4 linked regions of the Schizosaccharomyces pombe genome follow. Each later gene encodes a partner of the first gene's protein in a complex. Each region holds a gene or a part of one and is shown in the gene's direction. Other genes may lie near its edges. The genes, in order: rpb11, rpb9, rpb3 and rpb2.

Region 1 (3,258 bases):
AGAGCCCAAAAGTTCCCCAATAGCCATTCCCCCACTGTTGACACGTACAGCAGCGAACGTACTAAGAATATCAGGAGATCCATTGCCTAAAGCAAGAAAAGTAACGCCAACCACAGAATCGGGCAATTGAAGTAGCCACGAAATAGTAACCAAATTGGTACTAAAAAAATCACTAGCAGAAATTCCGATAGTTATGAAAAGGAAAATCAGCCATCCCACAATTATTGATAACACTGGGAATCGGAGACTGTTAATGGTACAAAAATAAAATTCAACGTAATCAAAGAACCCACTAGCCTCTCCCTTACAGTAAGCCTTTGCAAACCGACATTGATTAGCAGGGGTAATGTTTTTGATATCATTGCATGTAAGTAAAATTTGGTCGTTGCTATCATTTAAGGTATTTCCGCGCTCAAAAAGATGGACGGTTGAGTCCGAAGTCGAGGATACTGAAGCAAACGCTTTGCTAATCCGATGAGTCCAGAATAAAATGTAGGCAATGCCAAGGATACACCAAAGTAATATTAGTCTGTATTTCTTCAAGAAACATGAAGTTTTCGACATTTTTATACCTGATATCCAAGATATAGAAAATCCATGCTTAAACCGCATTGCTAGGTATTAGCAGCCCTTTTTTTTCTAAGATAGATGGGATGAAAAAGACTAATCCTATAATAAATATATAAATGCGCAGTACTCAAGATTGCCCCCAATTTTGGCAGAAAAAGTAAGAATGTAACTAGTATATTTAATAGAAGCAAACGTCACAACAGAATATCGATAAATATACGTGTCCGTAAACAATAAATAACAACAGTCAACGCAACATAAGGTATCGTAACGTAGAAATTTCTCCTTTCAAAGTGTATGCCCAATCATTAACAGATAGAATAAAGCAACAGTTGAAAAGGGTACCAAAATTTTTCAAAACAATAAAGAATGAGGCTGATAAACATACTAGCTATGAGCAAGATCAAAATACACAGCTCCATCCAACCCATTTGCACCTTCAGGATAAGTTCCTTTAGTGGCTTGAATTCGACGAGAAACAAAAGGCAAAAGCTTTGAAAGTTAATATAAAACAATATTCATTAATTTACAACATACCTCACAATCACCAGAAGGAGGCACAAACGTGCGAACACGCGACCACTGGACAAGAAAACCTCCATGCCTGGTTTTTTGACCCATTTTCCCAGTTCTTGTACCCTTGTAATACTGATGACCCAACTTTGTGGTCATTGGCAAGCGTCTTGCTCCAAAACATAATAATGATTGATGCATTTTGAATAACTCTCGATTTGGGTAAATGGAGGGTTTAAGTTGGCGCGTTTTCCGTCATAAAAGAAAAGGTAACGGTATAAGGTAACAGTCAAAGCGAAACATAGAATGTAAACAATAAAAATATTTGTTTAAAACGAACAAACGAATTACATTATGAAACTAAAAAATGAAATAAGTACGAAAAACTATTTTTTTTTCAACATTTAAATGAGCTTTCTTGTTGTTTATCTTTCTGCACAGTTCAATGAAAACAAGTACGGTTAATCTACAATTAAACGCCTCAAAATATGCCTTTAAAAATTTTAGTTATTAAAATCAGTTATTAAAAAATACTGTTACATCTCCCATTTCATTACTCGTTTGAGCCGATTTCCAACAGATAAATATATATTAAGTGTCCGTTCACGTTCGCGTTATTTATAACGAAATACGATGAGTTGTGGAATAAAGTGTTAAAGCTTTTGTTAAATGGCATTACGATTTATAGTGATGCTTAATGTACAGAACGTGGACAAAACCCTCGTAAGCATCAACATCTTACTTCTTCTTCAGCTAGTCGGCTGAAAACGTTGGCATAATGAATCAGCCAGAACGGTATGAGCTCATTGAGCTTATGGGACTCCCCAAGTAAGGAATAAACAATTTTACAAGGAATTGCATTAACCAGTGTAGAGTCACATATGAGCTCGATAGCAAATCACCTAATGCCGCAGTAGTTACTCTTGAAAAAGAGGATCATACATTGGCTAATATGCTTGCAAAGTAAGACTTCTAAATTTTTTTTTCTTTTCTAACTGCTTTTTCGAAGTCAACTCCTATCTGACGAAAGGGTTCTTTTTGCTGGTTACAAAGTTCCTCATCCATTAAATCACAATTTCATACTTCGTGTACAAACCGTAGAAGATTGTTCTCCAAAGCAGGTTATTGTTGATGCTGCTAAGTCCCTTATTACTCATCTGGAAGAAATCAAAGTTAATTTTATGCGTGAATGGGAGTTGAAAATGATATCTGTTGAAGGCGTTGAAATGGAGTTTTCCTAAAATCCACGGCTGCTTTTTCTCTAATATTTATTAGAGTTTTGTTTCAAAAAATACAGAATACCCTCTGTATGCATCTTTATTACAAAAATTTTGACTTTCGTTTTCGCAACTTCTGTAATTTGGACCGAAGTCGTATTAAAAGGGAAAATAAAAGTTTCTTTCTTTTTTGAAAACAGATGCTTTAAAAAAGGTGAAAGTTCTCCGATCTTTTATTGTATATGCTTCTTCATAAACCAACTAGAAAACTGCAGCAATGGCGATGAAAGTTTTTCTAGGTACCTGGATTATTCTCTGATATTGCTTTTTTTTTCAAAGTTGAATTTTGCTGAATGTAATCGAAGTGATTAATTTCCTACAGTAGGGCAGAGCATCGATTCTTACATTCAATCTTAAAAGAAATAAATTAATTAATGTTGTACTATTACAATTTATGTCATTGAATTATTCACAATCATCATTTTCTCTCCAAATGCTTTGCTTCAATTGCATTACGAAATTTGTTTATTCCTGTATTAGTTATTATTATAGAATACTTTTTGGATATGTAAGTAATTATATTTTCTTAAAATATACGATAAATATTCTTGCATAAATTAATGATACCCTATGCTTTGCACATATGCTCCATCTGCGTATCAGTTTTATAACGTCCGAATATCGCTAATAGTAAACGCTCCTATTACATTGTGACGAAAAGTTTGAAACTTTGTTCAATTTTTGATTATGAGCTCTAAATTATTTCAAAATAAGCTGTTATTAGCAGGGATTGGGGGATTTATGGTAGGCGGTCTAGCTTCTTGGGTTGTTTCCAGTGATGCCTATACAGCATATCATCGACTACCAGCAAGTGCGAAACATATTTCTGAAATTTCGAAATCGCCTGAAGCTGTTCAAATGATTGATAACATTTATCGCGAACGTCAACGCAGCATGA
Region 2 (3,441 bases), 3.3 Mb from region 1:
CCGAACGCATATTCTTTACCTTCTAAAACCAATCCTGTATGGTAAATACCAAGTCCAAGAGTCCATGCTAGTTTGTTTACCGGACTGTCTGGCATTAGATCATACACATTAATGTATACTTTCATATTCGAATACGTTCGGATGGCGAAGAACAACTTGCAAATTTCCTTGGTCCTCCTTAAGCAGGTTGAATTTTAAGATTCGATACCTGTACAATTAAGTATTTTTAATAAAAAAAAGTAGAGTCGAATTAAGGATAAAAATTTAAAATACGGGAGCTGTTTATGGTGGTGATTTTGTTTACATCGGTACGACTATGACAATGTTAAAATAATCAAAACATAGTACGTTTCTTCAATATTGAATACCTTTAGCTAAATTCACTACGATAGCAATCGCAATGAAATGGGTTTAATTGCATACAACGTTCTAAAAAGTTAATGAAATATAATCTCGCTGTTCGAATACGCATATTATTAGTAATGTAACAGAATTGCAAGCTTAAACAGAGGAATCATTGAATGAAACTAAGTCACAACGCTTTAATACAACTAGATAACGAAACTAGCTTTAAAGAGGAAACAGAAGTACTAACCCAAGAATTTTATATACAAATCCATGTTTGGAACCAGGATATTTAATAGCACAAAATGAATTTGCTAGTATCATTTACCCAGGCCAGAAGCAGTCTTGGTTGCTTGTTCTATACCACGTGCGATTGTGCTTCGAATTTTTCCATCTTCCAATGCCAACAAACCACTAATTGTACATCCGGCAGGAGTTGAAACATCATTACGAATCATAGCAGGATGTTGACCTTGTAAAACCATACGACCTGTACCAACCATAGTTTGGGCAGCCAATTCCTGAGCCTGAGGGAACGGAATACCCATCATTACACCACCATCTGTCATAGCCTCAATCATAGTAGCAACAAAAGCAGGTCCACTTCCACATACAGCGGTAGCAGCATCAATAAGCTTTTCGGGAAGTTTCATTGAACGTCCAATGCCATTGAATACCCATTCAGCAAACTTTATGTCTTCTTCAGTTGCGTTGGGTCCCGGGCAAATTACGCTCATACTTTCACGGATTCGACTAGCAGTATTGGGCATAATGCGAATCACCCTAGTACTTTCATCAAGCATACTTTGCAATGAAGAGATGGTCTTGCCAGCCAAAATTGACAAAATTAATTTTCCTTTGAGCGCTTCTTTCATCTTTGGGGAATTCAAAACATCCTCTGCGGCCTGAGGCTTACAACTCAACAACAAAACGTTACTAATCGCAGCCATCTCGGCATTCTCTTTGGCCCCCATTACAACTTTAACACGATCTCCGAAAAGCTTTTGAACATCCTCTTTTTCTTTAGGAAATTTGACACAAGCATAGAACTTATTCGGAATGATAATTTCGTCAGAAACATCGTTTCCATTTTCAGCAATGGAATCAAAGATTCCAGTCAAAAGTGCTTTTCCCATTGTACCACAACCAAGAACACAAAACCCCGACATTTTTTAAAGTTATGCTTAAAAATGTTTAACTATTTTTGTAGTCTTCTTTTAAAGCGAAAATAAATTCGACTAAAGCATATGCTAAGGGATCGTTAATTCCAAAATCAAACTCATACTGTAAATTACCGTTTTACTCGCTGATGTGCATAATGTAAGATACTGAAGTATGATGTTACAAGTTTGTAGGACTAGTCCATGTTTGAATAATGCTACACGTTAAAGTCAATATATCTTCTATATAATTAGTAATATTAAGTATATCGCAAATAAATTTTAAAGCAGCTACACAGTTTTTAACGAAATCTTGTAGAGACGTTGTAGATAAACAAAAGCTTTTTCGAACTTATAGATGTGAACCATCAGGACGCTGTTGTCCACTGTATTTTCCATATCCACTAACCACCACGTTCTTTTGAAAGTTTATTGCGTTGAAGTAAAATACTTTTGTTTGCTTTTTTAAAATGTCAAATTTTCAATATTGTATAGAATGCAATAATATGCTGTACGGATTAGTTTCTCAAAAAGATGACACTGAAAATTGTTTGAAAACACTAACATGAAATAAATAGGTACCCTAGAGAGGATAAAGTGGATCGTGTTCTGAGGCTAGCTTGTCGTAATTGTGATTACTCAGAGGTAAGCTTGTTTTTTTCTCCTACTGGGTTTATTCACTTCAAGAAAAAAATTCGAAGTTCTTTTCGATTACTTTTTTCCTCATCATTTGGAAGTTTTAAATATCTCATCAGCTAATTTGTATAGATCGCTGCTACTAGTAAAGTTTATCGCCATGAGTTACAAAGCTCCAATGTGTAAGTTAGATTTCATCCTTCGAATAATCACTAAATTTGTAGAGAAAACACGACGGTCAGTCACGACGCTTCAACGGACCCTACTTTACCTAGATCAGACAAAGAATGCCCGCGTTGTCATCAACATGAAGCAGTTTTTTATCAGACTCATTCTCGTCGGGGTGATACTATGATGGTGTGTTTCGCATTGTTTCATTGAGAAAACAATTTTAATATTTAGGTTTAAAAACAATTTTACTGACTTAATTAGACTCTGATTTATGTTTGCGTACATTGTGGATTTGCTTTTGAAGAACAGTAATATGCGACAATTCGGTCTAACAAGGGATTGTAAAACTAGCTGCGTCCACCAATGGCTCTTAGACTTCGGTTTAAATGATCCGCTTGATGTAACCACTCTCTCGCTTCTGTGCTGGAAAACTGGATTTTCGAGTGATACCAGCCACCTTTGCCGAAAATGGATTTACCAGCCTCTCAATCATATGCTCGCCTCCTTCCTTTATATTAAGCAACGCGCCTACCAAAACACTTGAATTTCTTTATTTCACATTCGGTGTACCTTCTGGAATATACTGAAACTGTTTCAGTTATTTGTATACAATAATCCATACGGAATAGCCTTGTAATCCGAATACCAATTAAATAAAAACCCTTAATTCTTTGTGCCTTTATTTTTTTTTATATTCTAATTTCAGCAGAGCTGTTAAATTCCAAGGCTTTCCATAATGTTGATGACTGCTTCTCAACAGGATCAGCATGCTAAAATGTATTTAGCTGACATCCATAGAGCATTGAGAATTCCTTCTCCCATCCCAAGTACTGATTACGAATGTTCTGACTATGCCTCTACAATCGCATCGATATCTCGAGAAAGTACAATGAGAAATTTTAATCGCAGTAACATCTCGTCTACGGCCCCTTCTTTTGCTGAATCTGAGGATGCTGAAGATGGCGATAGTTTCCCTTATGATCAAACGTTATCAAATTCTTCCAGTTTTGATGATCATCAGTCTCTTCTTCCTTTTTCTACAGAAGTTCGTAGGACCCCAACTTACTCTGTCATGAATGAAACGGATAGTAGTAGTACAAGTGTTGAAGACGTAAACAAAGAGAACATA
Region 3 (6,204 bases), on another chromosome or scaffold:
AGTTAAACTTTGAATCGTTTACAAGTACATGCTCATCGTTAACAGAAACCCGAAGAGTTTGGTAAGAGGATATTGTAAAAAAGATATTGTACTTCGTAATTTAGATGGTTGGCTATTTGATATGATCACAATTTCAACCATTTTTAAACTCTACAATCAAATTTGTTCACTTTCCTCCACTGACCGAAAAAAAACCTCAATATCTAATAAACTGCAGCAGGAATTTTGCATTATGGATATAAACAAAGTTGGCAGAAATTTTATTTCTTTAGGAAAAATACGATCAAGTAAGAGGAGAAACGCTATTTTGTCATACCAAACGATCATTAGTTCATTCCCTCATAATCATGTACAAAAACTTTTTCAAAGAACTCAATCAACAAATATGATTTATACCAAGTTAGAATATTTCGGTCATTCTTTGTTCTTTTATTTTACGGCATTTACGCTCTCGTTCAAGGATAGAAAAATCTTAATGCAAGCCGATGTATTTTTTAGACTAAAGCTCGTATTCAAGATAGCATTCTTTTTCACTCAAACAACTTTTTTAAATAAAAAAGAAAATAGGGAATTGTAGGTTTATGGATCATCAAACAAAGGAATACAGTAAACGGACTGCAGCAAAACTAAAGGTTTTTTAGAAAAAAAAAAGATGCATATTTTGTTCACTGAAAAAAAGTAATTTTAAAAGCGTTTTTGCTTAATTAGAAGGAGGTGAATAATCTTGTTTGTGCGCTTCCTTAATGTTTTCCGGGGATGACTCGTGATGAAGTTCTTTAAGCGCTTTTTGAATATCGGAAGAAATTGTTTCCAGCTGTTTTGACCGCATGTCGTACGAATAGATTACTTTGTTGTTTGAGATAATGGAAAATGTTGGAGTTTGATCGTTCGGTAAACGGTGATTAACGTTAAACTTCAAGCCGTAATTGTTGTAATACAATGAAGGAAGACATTCTTTTACAAATTTTCTAGAATTTAAAACGTTAGCAATGAACAACGCATGAAACGGAATCGTAGATCAGTGCTTCCTCACACAAAGTATTATCAAGCAGTTATTTGAGAGAATTAAACATGAATTGAGCATAAAATGTTTGAGGTACCAGTACATAGACAACATCGATGATTCTAACACGAATAAACAAAACTTACTTAGCACCCATATGTCCCAAACGGCTGTCTAAAGAATATTGAATAGATACTTCCTGAATATGTTTTGGTAAAGGAATCCCTAAAGCTCCAGCACGAATCTTGTGCAAAGATTTTTGTAATTTACCGCCTATGCTAGACATGGCGAAAATGTAAAGTTGTAGTAATAATCAGCCAAACAAAAATGAAAGAGTTTGAAACAATATGTTTTTATTCAAATATTCTGTCGGGATGAACAGAGAATATAAATATTAATGAATTAAGCCTAATGCCGTAGATTCGTACTCTCTTGTCAATTGTTGCTTGCTCTCTTTAAAAGCGAGTTCCTTGATCTCGCATTTAACGTAGTTTAGTGTGTCCTTATGCTAAATAAGGGATCACCTAACAGTGCGGAATGGGAGAAATGAGTATGAAATTCTGCAACAAGCATAGACCAAACGACACATTCTCATTATGGATTCAGAAACGCATATTACGATACGAAATATAAGTAAAAACTCGGTGGATTTTGTCCTTACAAATACAAGTTTGGCGTAAGTGAAAAGCTCTAGGAAATTCCTTCTAATAGTTGAAAGAGTTGCAAACTCGCTGCGACGTGTTGTACTTGCAGAGATTCCAACAGTGGGTAAGATTTAGGTTCATTCTTGAATTAAATACTAATGATGTTTTAGCCATTGACCTAGTTGAAATTAATGTGAATACCTCAGTCATGCCTGATGAGTTTCTAGCACATCGTCTTGGTATGATACCTCTGGATAGCTCCAACATCGATGAACCGCCTCCAGTAGGTTTGGAATATACGCGCAATTGCGATTGCGATCAGTATTGTCCCAAGTGTTCAGTCGAGTTGTTCCTAAATGCCAAATGTACTGGTGAGGGTACGATGGAAATTTATGCTAGAGATCTTGTTGTTTCTTCTAACTCTTCTCTTGGACACCCTATTCTCGCCGATCCAAAATCACGCGGACCGCTTATTTGCAAACTCAGAAAAGAGCAGGAAATTTCTCTGCGTTGCATTGCCAAGAAGGGTATAGCTAAAGAACATGCTAAGTGGTCACCTACTTCAGCTGTTGCATTTGAATACGATCCATGGAACAAGTTACAGCATACTGATTACTGGTTTGAGAATGATGCAGATGCAGAGTGGCCAAAAAGCAAAAATGCCGATTGGGAAGAACCACCGCGGGAAGGCGAACCATTCAACTTCCAAGAGGAACCGCGTCGGTTTTATATGGATGTCGAAAGTGTCGGTTCTATACCACCCAATGAAATAATGGTTCAAGGTTTACGAATTCTTCAGGAAAAGCTTGCAGTTTTAGTTCGTGATCTCGACGAAGAGCAGCCTACTCAACTTTCTGCTAACGAACTGAATATGGAGGAGAATGCAGAAATGAACTGGTCTCCCTATCAAAATGGTGAAGAAAACACGTGGTAGACTATGCTTCAATTCTTTTCTAAAAATTATCCATTTTCATCCTTTATATGTTTGTTGTTATAAAAAATACTCTAGATGCGTTTTTTTAATCATCTAAAAGTTTTTAATTTATGGCCTGCGTCCGTTCATGTCATACCTTACACATTTTTATCTAATCCTTTTTTTTTTGGCTTTTGGCTACAACATATTGTACGTATTGATATGCATATATAGAGATATATATTCCTCCCTCATATCATAATTTTGTTCTTCTTCACTTGGATTTATTATAGCTTTAGATAATTTCGTGAAAGAGAACACTTTCGGAATTGTCGTTTTGATATCTTTTTAATTTTCGGTGATTGCCTCTTGAACTCTTTGTTGGAAAGTTTATATCGGCTCACCATGCTCACAATGAATAGACAAAGTTGCTACAAGTGGACAACGAGATTACAGAATACAATTTTTTATAACGATGTTTTATTCGTTTACCAAAAATAAAGACAACAAAAAAGTTTTTAAAAACCTCAACACTTTAAAATAACATGTACAACGAGAACCGAAAGCGTCTCCTTTACTTTTATGCTGAAGAGTTTTCTTCTTCAGCGTATAATTTTTCGGTTTCCTCAATTGCAGTAACATTTGAACGTAGTTTGTTTAAAGTTTCCACGTACTCATCTTGTTCATCTGAATCAAACACAATACCACCACCGGCTTGCAAATAAACAGTTCCGTCTTTATAAACCATTGTACGGATTGCTATACAAGTATCCATGTTGTCATCTTCATAGCCCCAACGACCTACGGCTCCCGCGTATATACCACGCTTTTCTTTCTCTAATCCATAAACGAGCTGAATTGCACGGACTTTGGGAGACCCACTGACCGTTCCAGCCGGAAATATACTACGGAATGCATCAAAACGAGTTTTATCAGGTCTCAGAACACCAGAAACTTGAGAAACAAGATGCTGAACATGAGAAAACTTTTCAATAGTCATCAACTTGTCAACACTTGTTGTGTCGAGATCACAGACACGACTGACATCGTTTCTTGCCAAGTCCACCAGCATTACATGTTCAGCTCTATCCTTGACACTAGCAAGTAAATCCTTGGCATATGCCTCATCCTCTTCTTTAGTTTTTCCTCTTGGAACAGTTCCGGCAATGGGATGATTGATAATACGCCCATGCTCTGATTTAACCAGTAATTCAGGGGAAGCACCGATTATGTCGAAATCATCACAGTGGATGTAGAACATATAAGGGGACGGGTTAACTGTTCTTAAATGGCGGTACAAATTAAAAGGATGTAAATCTGTACGCCTAGCAATCCGTTGGCTTGGGACAGCTTGGAAAATATCGCCATTAAAGATATGTTCCTTGAGGTTGGAAACAAATGCTTTATACCCGTCTTCGCCTACATTTGACTTAGCTTCGTATCCTAAATGGACCTTCTTTTGCTCAGGCAAAGGAATTTCAGGACTTTCAAGTTTCTTTTTAAGCATATTGATTTTGAAAACGGCAGCTTCGTAAGCCTCTTCAATGGGTCGGCCTTGCTGAATGCAAACATGAGAAATTATCTTGACAGTCTGATAAGCATGATCGAAAGCGACTAAATCGTCGGTCATGAAAAACATAGCCTCCGGAAGACCCAAGGTATCTTCTAAAGGCATTTCAGTAGTGGGTTCAAAATATTTGATGCAATCATAAGAAACATAGCCCACAGCACCTCCACTGAAAGATGGCAGACCCTCAACAGGGGCTGTTTTAACTTCTTTCAACTCACGTTCTAAACGTGCCAAAGGATCTGTTTTTCCATTGGCCATTAATATTCTATAAGGGCTGCCAATAAAACTGTATCTTGAGACACTCTCTCCTTGAGTGACACTTTCTAAAATAAACGAATACTTCTTTCCTTGATTAAGCTTCAAGTAGGCTACTGAAGGAGTCAGCATATCGGCAGGGATTACTCCATAAATGGGAATCTTGTTAGCCTTGTGCTTTTCAGCAAGCTCTTGAACTTGTTTCAAGTCAGGATAAATCTAAAATAGTATTAGTATCATGTATTAATTTTAAGCTTCATAGCCCTAGAAACGGCGACTTTTACAGTTAAAAGCAATACAACAAAGGAAAGACCCAATCCTAAACTCGTCAATATATCCCAATACTACTATTTATTTTCCATAGGTTGGGTCTCCTTGTTAGAACAAAAAAAATCAAATTACCTTCATCTTATTGACAAGTCTATACTCGAATAAGTGCAAATTCAATAGCAAACCAAAAAAATCCCTTAAACTTGAACCGATCTATTTCCAGAAAGACAAGCAATTCCAAATTTTTCTGTAAGCGAAGAAAGAAAACAAAAGAACCAATTAATTCAACAACGTAAAGCTGCTGGAAGAAGACAACTTGTGAAAGTTGGAAAATTCATCTAAATTAGATGAAAAATATAACGGATGCGTTGGAAAACGTTATATGGTTAAATGTAAATAAAAGACTGGAAATAGGAATTAGGAAGTTATATTTAACTGCGGACAAACCGATAAAAGTATTTTGTTTTAGGATAAGATTTATTTTTTTCCTAAGCTCTTAGGCAAATTCTTAAAATGGCCAAAGTTTCGTCGAACATAAACTGCAATCTAGTTAAGATCTTGATTTCTTTTTTTTTTATTTTATTTATCTAGTCTCCTTGGTTTGATTTAAAAATGTTAAAAATAAAAGGCATTCGTTTAGATGAAAAGGGTGTGTATGTTAGCTAGAAAGTTGCAGACCTGAATAGAGGAGAAGACACTGTGTAAAAGTCCTCTACAAAATCTATGAAATTTCGTGAATCATGCGCTTATAATATTCAGAAATTGAAAAGAGGAACAACGATTATAACGAAAGAGAACTAAGAGGATTTAGGCGTTGGAATTGGTATAAGAGAATACATGACTCGCTATTAGGGCAATTCAGAATAATGTTATATTTATGCTAACAAATTTATAAATTTAATAGAGTCGACTACCCTTAGGATTTGAAGTGCGTCTTATACCGAAACGATCGAAGTGAATTAAAGTGATTGCTTGTTTAAGTGCAATTGAACAGTCAAGGCTAGTCATCTATAAATCTGAACAGTTCAACTTAATAAGCAAAAAGTAATGTTATTCGATCAAGGATTTTTCGTCTTGTGAATGATCTTGCAAGTTAATAAAAACGGAGATGAAACTCTCGAACGTATAAAAACAATCAATCGCTGGTTAAATTCAATCTTTTAGCAAAAAAGGATTTTAATTGTATAATGTATTCAATCGGGAAAAGCAAAAGAGGGTCTTTCACGCGGCACTATTTTTTTGCCTGAAAATAAATAAGTAAATAGAACAGTATCCTAAAAACAGTTTATTCAAATCCTTTTTAAACGAGTATAGGAATCTTGTTTGTTATATATTGGATCTCTGTCAGTTCAAATTCATGTTATTAAGTAGAATAAATACCTCTTTCACTTCACTCAATAAACGCAGATGCAAAAAGAAAATAGGAAAAATAGTATAGGATAAAGGTAAGATCGCACTGTTATTAAACAGTTATTTTACTTCTACAGTGTTGATTCCTCATGATTTCAAGTTAAGATATTGTCGTACAAAATCCCGATTCGGGGAATTG
Region 4 (6,006 bases), 580 kb from region 1:
TTTCCGCAGAGCTCTCAGATTGATTTATATCAGCAGGTTGAGACATTGTAGGCGGTAGTAATTGTCACAATGATTACTTTTCCGAATCAAACCCTCGCCAAATATTCTATCCCTTAAAACACCTGTACGTAGCTAAGAGGATTGAGTAAATAGGTATTTATAAAAAATTGTTGAAGGAATAGTGAGAAAGGAAGGCATGATTGGAAAGGTTGCGATCATTTTCTATTACGCATATCATAATCAGAATACCAAATTGAAAAAAAGAACGCCAATTCTACAATATCGAAGTCCTCCCATTAGTTCGTTAATGAGCATACAATGTTTACTTCGTTAAAGATTGTCGGGATGAATTGAGCTTAATCAGAGCCGAGCATCGTTGTACAGTTTACTAAATGTAGAGCTAAGCGATAATACGCTAACTTACGGTATCGGTTTTTGTAAGAATACACCGAATTTCGTTAAGTACAAAGTATTAGTAGTAGTATGAAACAAAAATAACAGTCACAGCCAAACCCAAACAATTTCAGTTACTGTGTTATATACTAGTTCATCGTAACCACAGCAAATCTCTTTCTGCAAAAGGATCAGGATGGGTATTACGAGAGATTCCCGCCACAAGCGCTCTGCTACCGGTGCTAAGCGTGCTCAATACCGTAAGAAGAGAAAATTCGAGTTGGGTCGTCAACCTTCCAACACTCGTATTGGACCTAAGCGTATCCATGAGGTTCGTGTTCGTGGTGGAAACAAGAAGTTCCGTGCTCTTCGTCTTGACTCTGGTAACTTCTCTTGGGGCTCTGAAGGTGTTTCCAAGAAGACTCGTATCATTCAAGTCGCCTACCACCCTTCTAACAACGAGTTGGTTCGTACCAACACTTTGACCAAGTCGGCCATCGTCCAAATTGATGCCGCTCCTTTCCGTGTTTGGTATGAAACTCACTACGGTATTTTGATGGGAAGCAAGGGTAAGAAGGCCACTGCTACACCTACTCCCAAATCCAAGCATGTTCAACGTAAGCATAGCGCTCGTCTTGGCGATTCTAAGGTTGATTCCGCTTTGGAAACTCAGTTTGCTGCTGGCCGTTTGTATGCTGTAGTTTCCTCTCGCCCTGGTCAATCTGGTCGTTGCGACGGCTACATCCTTGAAGGTGAAGAGTTACATTTCTACCTTCGTCGTATGGCTCCTAAGAAATAAGGTTGTTTCTTCAATAAATTAGTTCATAAAGGAAGGAATAAAAGGATTCCGAGATTGTTGTATTTCACCTGTATTGTTGATTATTATCAGTAACCAAGGTCGTTAATTATGTAGAGAAGGTAATTTTTATTATTGGCATTTAGAAAAGTGTCTGCTAAATGTTTAGTAATCTCTCCATTTGTCCCAATCAGTAATTGAAATTCGTTTATGTGCTATTAGATATGATTTCTTTACTAAATCTCATTGAACTACGTTTAGTGAAGCCTTTACCTTTTTAATAAAAATTCACGCTAAGTAGCCTTTTACACATAATGAAAGAGTTGCGAATTGCTTTGAAAGGAAAATGGCCTTTCACGTACCTTAGCTATATTGAATGATTAAAACAAGTAAAAGATATAAAAAAACTGGTTCTTTTTTTGATGCTTAAAGACTTTTTTACTGAACACAAAGTCGAATTGCCACTACGGTACGATATCCTTGTTACGGTAGCCTCAACATTTATTCCTCTTCCTCACCGCCAACATATCCTGTTGCGTGTGCCATTTCAACAACAATGTCTTATGAGGATTGTAAGTTACTAATAAAGTCATTTTTAACACCATAATAGATCAATACAATGAGACATTGACTCAGGAGGATTGTTGGACCGTGATCTCGTCGTTTTTTGAGGAAACGTCGTTAGCTCGGCAACAATTGTTCTCTTTCGATGAGTTTGTTCAAAATACTATGCAAGAAATTGTTGATGATGATTCCACTTTAACTCTAGATCAATATGCACAACACACGGGTGCTCAAGGAGATGTTACACGTCGATACGAAATAAATTTTGGACAGATTTATCTTTCAAGGCCTACAATGACTGAAGCTGATGGTAGTACAACTACTATGTTTCCTCAAGAGGCGAGGCTTCGTAACTTGACTTACTCGTCTCCTTTATACGTTGACATGCGTAAAAAAGTTATGGTTGCTGCCGATTCTAATGTTCCCATCGGCGAAGAGGAGTGGCTTGTTGAAGAAGAGGATGAAGAACCCTCAAAAGTTTTTATTGGAAAGATACCAATCATGCTCCGTTCTACTTTTTGCATTTTAAATGGTGTTAGTGATTCTGAATTGTACGATTTGAATGAGTGCCCTTATGATCAGGGAGGATACTTTATTATCAATGGCTCTGAAAAGGTAATCATTGCTCAAGAGAGATCTGCTGCCAATATTGTACAAGTATTTAAAAAAGCCGCTCCGAGCCCCATCGCTTACGTTGCTGAAATTCGCTCTGCTTTGGAACGAGGTAGTAGGCTTATTTCTTCTATGCAGATTAAGTTAATGGCACGTAATACTGAGAATTCTGGTCAGACAATTAGAGCAACACTTCCATATATCAGGAGTGACATTCCTATCGTCATCGTGTTCCGTGCTCTTGGAGTTGTACCTGATCGTGATATTTTGGAACATATATGCTACGACCCAAATGATTTCCAAATGCTTGAAATGATGAAGCCCTGTATCGAAGAAGCATTTGTGATTCAAGATAAAGATATAGCTTTGGATTACATTGGTAAAAGAGGCAGTACTACTGGTGTTACGCGTGAAAAACGTCTTCGATATGCCCATGACATTTTACAGAAAGAGCTGCTTCCGCATATTACTACAATGGAAGGTTTTGAGACTAGAAAGGCGTTTTTCTTAGGTTACATGATCCATCGTATGCTTTTGTGTGCGTTAGAGCGTCGTGAACCAGATGATCGAGATCATTTCGGGAAAAAGCGTCTTGACCTTGCAGGTCCATTACTTGCATCTCTGTTCCGTATGCTCTTTCGTAAAATGACTCGCGATGTGTATAAGTATATGCAGAAATGCGTTGAAACAAATCGTGAATTCAACCTTACCCTGGCTGTGAAGTCAAACATTATTACCAATGGTTTACGTTATTCATTGGCTACTGGTAATTGGGGAGACCAAAAACGCAGTATGGTTAATCGGGTTGGTGTATCACAAGTTCTTAACCGATATACATTCGCTTCAACTTTATCACATTTAAGACGTACAAATACTCCTATCGGTAGAGACGGAAAATTGGCTAAACCCCGTCAGTTGCACAACACACACTGGGGTATGGTTTGCCCTGCTGAAACACCAGAAGGACAAGCTTGCGGCTTAGTCAAAAATTTGTCTCTAATGAGCTATGTTTCCGTAGGTTCACCCAGTGCTCCAATTATCGAGTTTTTAGAAGAATGGGGTTTAGAAACACTGGAAGATTACAACCCTTCAGCGTCTCCTAATGCAACAAAGGTCTTCGTGAATGGTGTGTGGTTAGGAGTACATCGTGATCCAGCTCATTTAACAGAGACGCTACGCAGCCTTCGTCGTAGATTGGACATATCTGCAGAGGTTAGTATCGTTCGCGATATCCGTGAAAAAGAGCTTCGTCTCTTTACAGATGCAGGTCGTATTTGTAGACCATTATTTATTGTGGATAACAATCCTAATAGTGAAAGAAGAGGAGAGTTATGTATTCGTAAAGAGCATATCCAACAACTAATAGAGGATAAAGACAGATATGACATTGACCCCGAACAACGCTTTGGATGGACCGCTTTAGTATCTAGTGGTCTCATTGAGTATCTAGATGCAGAAGAAGAGGAGACGGTTATGATAGCAATGAGTCCGGAAGATCTTGAAGCATCACGTCAAATGCAAGCTGGGTATGAAGTTAAGGAAGAACTGGATCCTGCACAAAGAGTTAAGCCAGCTCCTAATCCTCATGTGCATGCTTGGACCCATTGTGAAATACATCCTGCGATGATTCTTGGCATCCTTGCTAGTATTATCCCTTTTCCTGATCATAATCAATCACCTCGTAATACTTATCAATCTGCAATGGGTAAACAGGCTATGGGAGTTTATCTTACAAACTACCAAGTACGAATGGATACCATGGCAAATATCCTATACTATCCACAGAAGCCGTTGGCGACTACTCGATCGATGGAGTACCTAAAGTTCCGTGAACTTCCTGCTGGCCAGAATGCTATTGTCGCCATTCTATGTTATAGTGGCTATAACCAAGAAGACTCCATTATTATGAATCAAGCTAGTATTGATCGAGGATTATTCCGCAGTATTTTCTACAGAACGTACACGGACCAAGAAAAGAAAATTGGCATGACTGTTATGGAGGAGTTTGAACGGCCGGTCCGGTCTACAACCCTAAGGATGAAACACGGTACGTACGACAAGCTTGAGGATGATGGTTTAATTGCTCCTGGCACTCGAGTGTCAGGCGAAGATATTATTATTGGTAAAACAGCTCCAATTCCCCTAGATCATGAAGAATTAGGTCAACGTACTCAGTTACATGCAAAGCGTGACGTTTCCACTCCTTTGAGAAGCACTGAAAGCGGTATTGTTGACCAAGTAATGGTCACCACTAACCAAGAAGGCTTAAAATTTGTTAAAGTTAGAATGCGAAGTACTCGTATACCCCAAATTGGTGACAAATTCGCGTCAAGGCATGGTCAAAAAGGTACCATTGGAATGACATATCGTCATGAAGATATGCCATTTTCTGCACAAGGAATTGTTCCTGATATCATCATTAATCCACACGCCATTCCGTCTCGTATGACAGTTGCTCATTTAGTCGAATGTCAACTTAGCAAGGTTTCTGCTTTATCTGGTTTTGAAGGTGATGCCACACCTTTTACAGACGTTACGGTTGAAGCGGTTTCTAAGCTGTTACGTTCACATGGCTTTCAGTCGAGAGGATTTGAAGTTATGTACCATGGTCATACTGGTAGGAAGCTTGTTGCCCAAGTTTTTCTTGGTCCCACATACTATCAGCGTCTAAAGCATTTGGTGGACGATAAAATTCACGCTCGTGCTAGAGGACCTGTGCAAATTTTGACTCGTCAACCCGTTGAAGGCAGATCTAGAGATGGTGGCCTTCGTTTTGGAGAAATGGAACGTGATTGCCAAATTTCTCATGGTTGTAGTAGTGTATTACGAGAACGTTTGTTTGATTGTTCTGATGCGTACCGAGTTATAGTATGCGATATTTGTGGTTTGATAGCGATCGCCAGTTACAAAAAAGACTCATATGAATGCCGATCATGTCAAAATCGTACTCGGTTTAGTCAAGTTTATTTACCGTATGCTGCCAAGCTTTTATTCCAAGAATTGATGTCGATGAATATTGCACCGCGGTTATTTACTAAAAACCATAAGTAGTTTTGCTTATTTGAATAAATTAATACATAAACATAGCATGAACATACAGAAGGATGATCGGTGTGATCTTAAAGAAGCTATCATTTATTTACATAAGCTACTTAAATTGTGTTCTAACAGATATATATATTATTTATATAATAATAATGTAGTTGTTACCTAATTTCGGCTTCAATTTAAAGTTCAATTTCCTTAATAATTGTAACAAAATTGTTTATAAAAACACTGGCTTCTCTTTTGGAAAATATAGACGATTGGCAGAAAAGACCAATTTCGAGGTAACCATCTCGAATTGCCAACTCAAAATCTAACTTGGGTTTGTTTCCAAACAAAATTTCACAACCATCAATGGTGGTTTCAACTTCGTTAATCTTTAGTTCCGCATTGTTGAGTTTCAACGGGTATACGCTGAAAACTTTACTTGGTTCATTGTTATCACCAGTTGACAAGAAATTTACTGCGATATCCATCATGCCATGAACAGGGAGATCCAGCAAAGATATGTATTGTAGGTTTCCCGAAATCTCATTCAAAAAAGACTGAATTTCGAGAGCTATTTCACCTAAAGGTCTGAAAGTATCTGTAACTCT

The links.
Region 2: rpb11 (region 1) and rpb9 share a complex: the UniProt entries of both Schizosaccharomyces pombe proteins name them as parts of the RNA polymerase II (Pol II) complex.
Region 3: the proteins of rpb11 (region 1) and rpb3 are in contact, whole or in part, in a crystal structure (PDB 3H0G), measured with the Schizosaccharomyces pombe proteins. Residues at the interface, in NP_593333.1 of Schizosaccharomyces pombe: Arg6 (codon at 1,877), Tyr7 (codon at 1,880), Leu9 (codon at 1,886), Ile10 (codon at 1,889), Glu11 (codon at 1,892), Lys17 (codon at 1,910), Val18 (codon at 1,958), Leu34 (codon at 2,006), Glu37 (codon at 2,015), His39 (codon at 2,021), Thr40 (codon at 2,024), Leu41 (codon at 2,027), Asn43 (codon at 2,033), Met44 (codon at 2,036), Leu45 (codon at 2,039), Asn47 (codon at 2,045), His68 (codon at 2,154), Ile86 (codon at 2,208), Val87 (codon at 2,211), Ala90 (codon at 2,220), Lys91 (codon at 2,223), Leu93 (codon at 2,229), Ile94 (codon at 2,232), His96 (codon at 2,238), Leu97 (codon at 2,241), Glu98 (codon at 2,244), Glu99 (codon at 2,247), Ile100 (codon at 2,250), Lys101 (codon at 2,253), Asn103 (codon at 2,259); in NP_588324.1 of Schizosaccharomyces pombe: Thr5 (codon at 1,612), His6 (codon at 1,615), Ile7 (codon at 1,618), Thr8 (codon at 1,621), Ile9 (codon at 1,624), Ile12 (codon at 1,633), Val17 (codon at 1,648), Asn23 (codon at 1,666), Thr24 (codon at 1,669), Ser25 (codon at 1,672), Leu26 (codon at 1,675), Ala27 (codon at 1,678), Val28 (codon at 1,723), Ser31 (codon at 1,732), Leu32 (codon at 1,735), Arg34 (codon at 1,741), Val35 (codon at 1,744), Glu39 (codon at 1,756), Arg88 (codon at 1,949), Ile164 (codon at 2,177), Lys166 (codon at 2,183), Glu167 (codon at 2,186), His168 (codon at 2,189), Pro241 (codon at 2,408), Asn242 (codon at 2,411), Met245 (codon at 2,420), Val246 (codon at 2,423), Leu249 (codon at 2,432), Arg250 (codon at 2,435), Leu252 (codon at 2,441).
Region 4: rpb11 (region 1) and rpb2 share a complex: the UniProt entries of both Schizosaccharomyces pombe proteins name them as parts of the RNA polymerase II (Pol II) complex.

Annotation. Positions count from the first base shown.
Region 1 is NC_003424.3:1,432,092-1,435,349, forward strand, and holds rpb11 (DNA-directed RNA polymerase II complex subunit Rpb11), read left to right. Parts: upstream 1-1,834; 5' UTR 1,835-1,861; coding exon 1,862-1,911; exon of another isoform or gene 1,912-1,956; coding exon 1,957-2,046; exon of another isoform or gene 2,047-2,092; coding exon 2,093-2,324; 3' UTR 2,325-2,751; downstream 2,752-3,258. Other genes in the region: SPOM_SPAC3A12.06C (sodium/calcium exchanger), read right to left, coding at 1-564; mrpl27 (mitochondrial ribosomal protein subunit L27), read right to left, coding at 958-1,062, 1,108-1,284; SPOM_SPAC3A12.08 (uncharacterized protein), read left to right, coding at 3,048-3,258. UniProt on the Schizosaccharomyces pombe protein: DNA-dependent RNA polymerase catalyzes the transcription of DNA into RNA using the four ribonucleoside triphosphates as substrates. Component of RNA polymerase II which synthesizes mRNA precursors and many functional non-coding RNAs.
Region 2 is NC_003424.3:4,750,867-4,754,307, reverse strand, and holds rpb9 (DNA-directed RNA polymerase II complex TFIIS subunit Rpb9), read left to right. Parts: upstream 1-1,902; 5' UTR 1,903-1,975; coding exon 1,976-2,016; exon of another isoform or gene 2,017-2,083; coding exon 2,084-2,150; exon of another isoform or gene 2,151-2,273; coding exon 2,274-2,323; exon of another isoform or gene 2,324-2,365; coding exon 2,366-2,498; exon of another isoform or gene 2,499-2,573; coding exon 2,574-2,624; 3' UTR 2,625-2,918; downstream 2,919-3,441. Other genes in the region: sdu1 (PPPDE peptidase family protein), read right to left, coding at 1-125; pro3 (delta-1-pyrroline-5-carboxylate reductase), read right to left, coding at 666-1,514; mid2 (septin ring organizing protein), read left to right, coding at 3,049-3,441. UniProt on the Schizosaccharomyces pombe protein: DNA-dependent RNA polymerase catalyzes the transcription of DNA into RNA using the four ribonucleoside triphosphates as substrates. Component of RNA polymerase II which synthesizes mRNA precursors and many functional non-coding RNAs.
Region 3 is NC_003421.2:1,782,375-1,788,578, reverse strand, and holds rpb3 (DNA-directed RNA polymerase II complex subunit Rpb3), read left to right. Parts: upstream 1-1,580; 5' UTR 1,581-1,599; coding exon 1,600-1,679; exon of another isoform or gene 1,680-1,721; coding exon 1,722-1,771; exon of another isoform or gene 1,772-1,817; coding exon 1,818-2,581; 3' UTR 2,582-3,140; coding exon of another isoform or gene 3,141-4,604; 3' UTR 4,605-4,787; coding exon of another isoform or gene 4,788-4,793; 3' UTR 4,794-5,682; downstream 5,683-6,204. Other genes in the region: SPOM_SPCC1442.11C (uncharacterized protein), read left to right, coding at 29-577; mrp49 (mitochondrial 54S ribosomal protein mL61), read right to left, coding at 701-968, 1,150-1,289; trp3 (anthranilate synthase component I), read right to left, coding at 3,141-4,604, 4,788-4,793. UniProt on the Schizosaccharomyces pombe protein: DNA-dependent RNA polymerase catalyzes the transcription of DNA into RNA using the four ribonucleoside triphosphates as substrates. Component of RNA polymerase II which synthesizes mRNA precursors and many functional non-coding RNAs.
Region 4 is NC_003424.3:848,931-854,936, forward strand, and holds rpb2 (DNA-directed RNA polymerase II complex subunit Rpb2), read left to right. Parts: upstream 1-1,705; 5' UTR 1,706-1,745; coding exon 1,746-1,761; exon of another isoform or gene 1,762-1,799; coding exon 1,800-5,416; 3' UTR 5,417-5,455; downstream 5,456-6,006. Other genes in the region: sst1 (calcium permease), read right to left, coding at 1-46; rps802 (40S ribosomal protein eS8), read left to right, coding at 590-1,192; ferrichrome synthetase Sib1, read right to left, coding at 5,593-6,006. UniProt on the Schizosaccharomyces pombe protein: DNA-dependent RNA polymerase catalyzes the transcription of DNA into RNA using the four ribonucleoside triphosphates as substrates. Second largest component of RNA polymerase II which synthesizes mRNA precursors and many functional non-coding RNAs.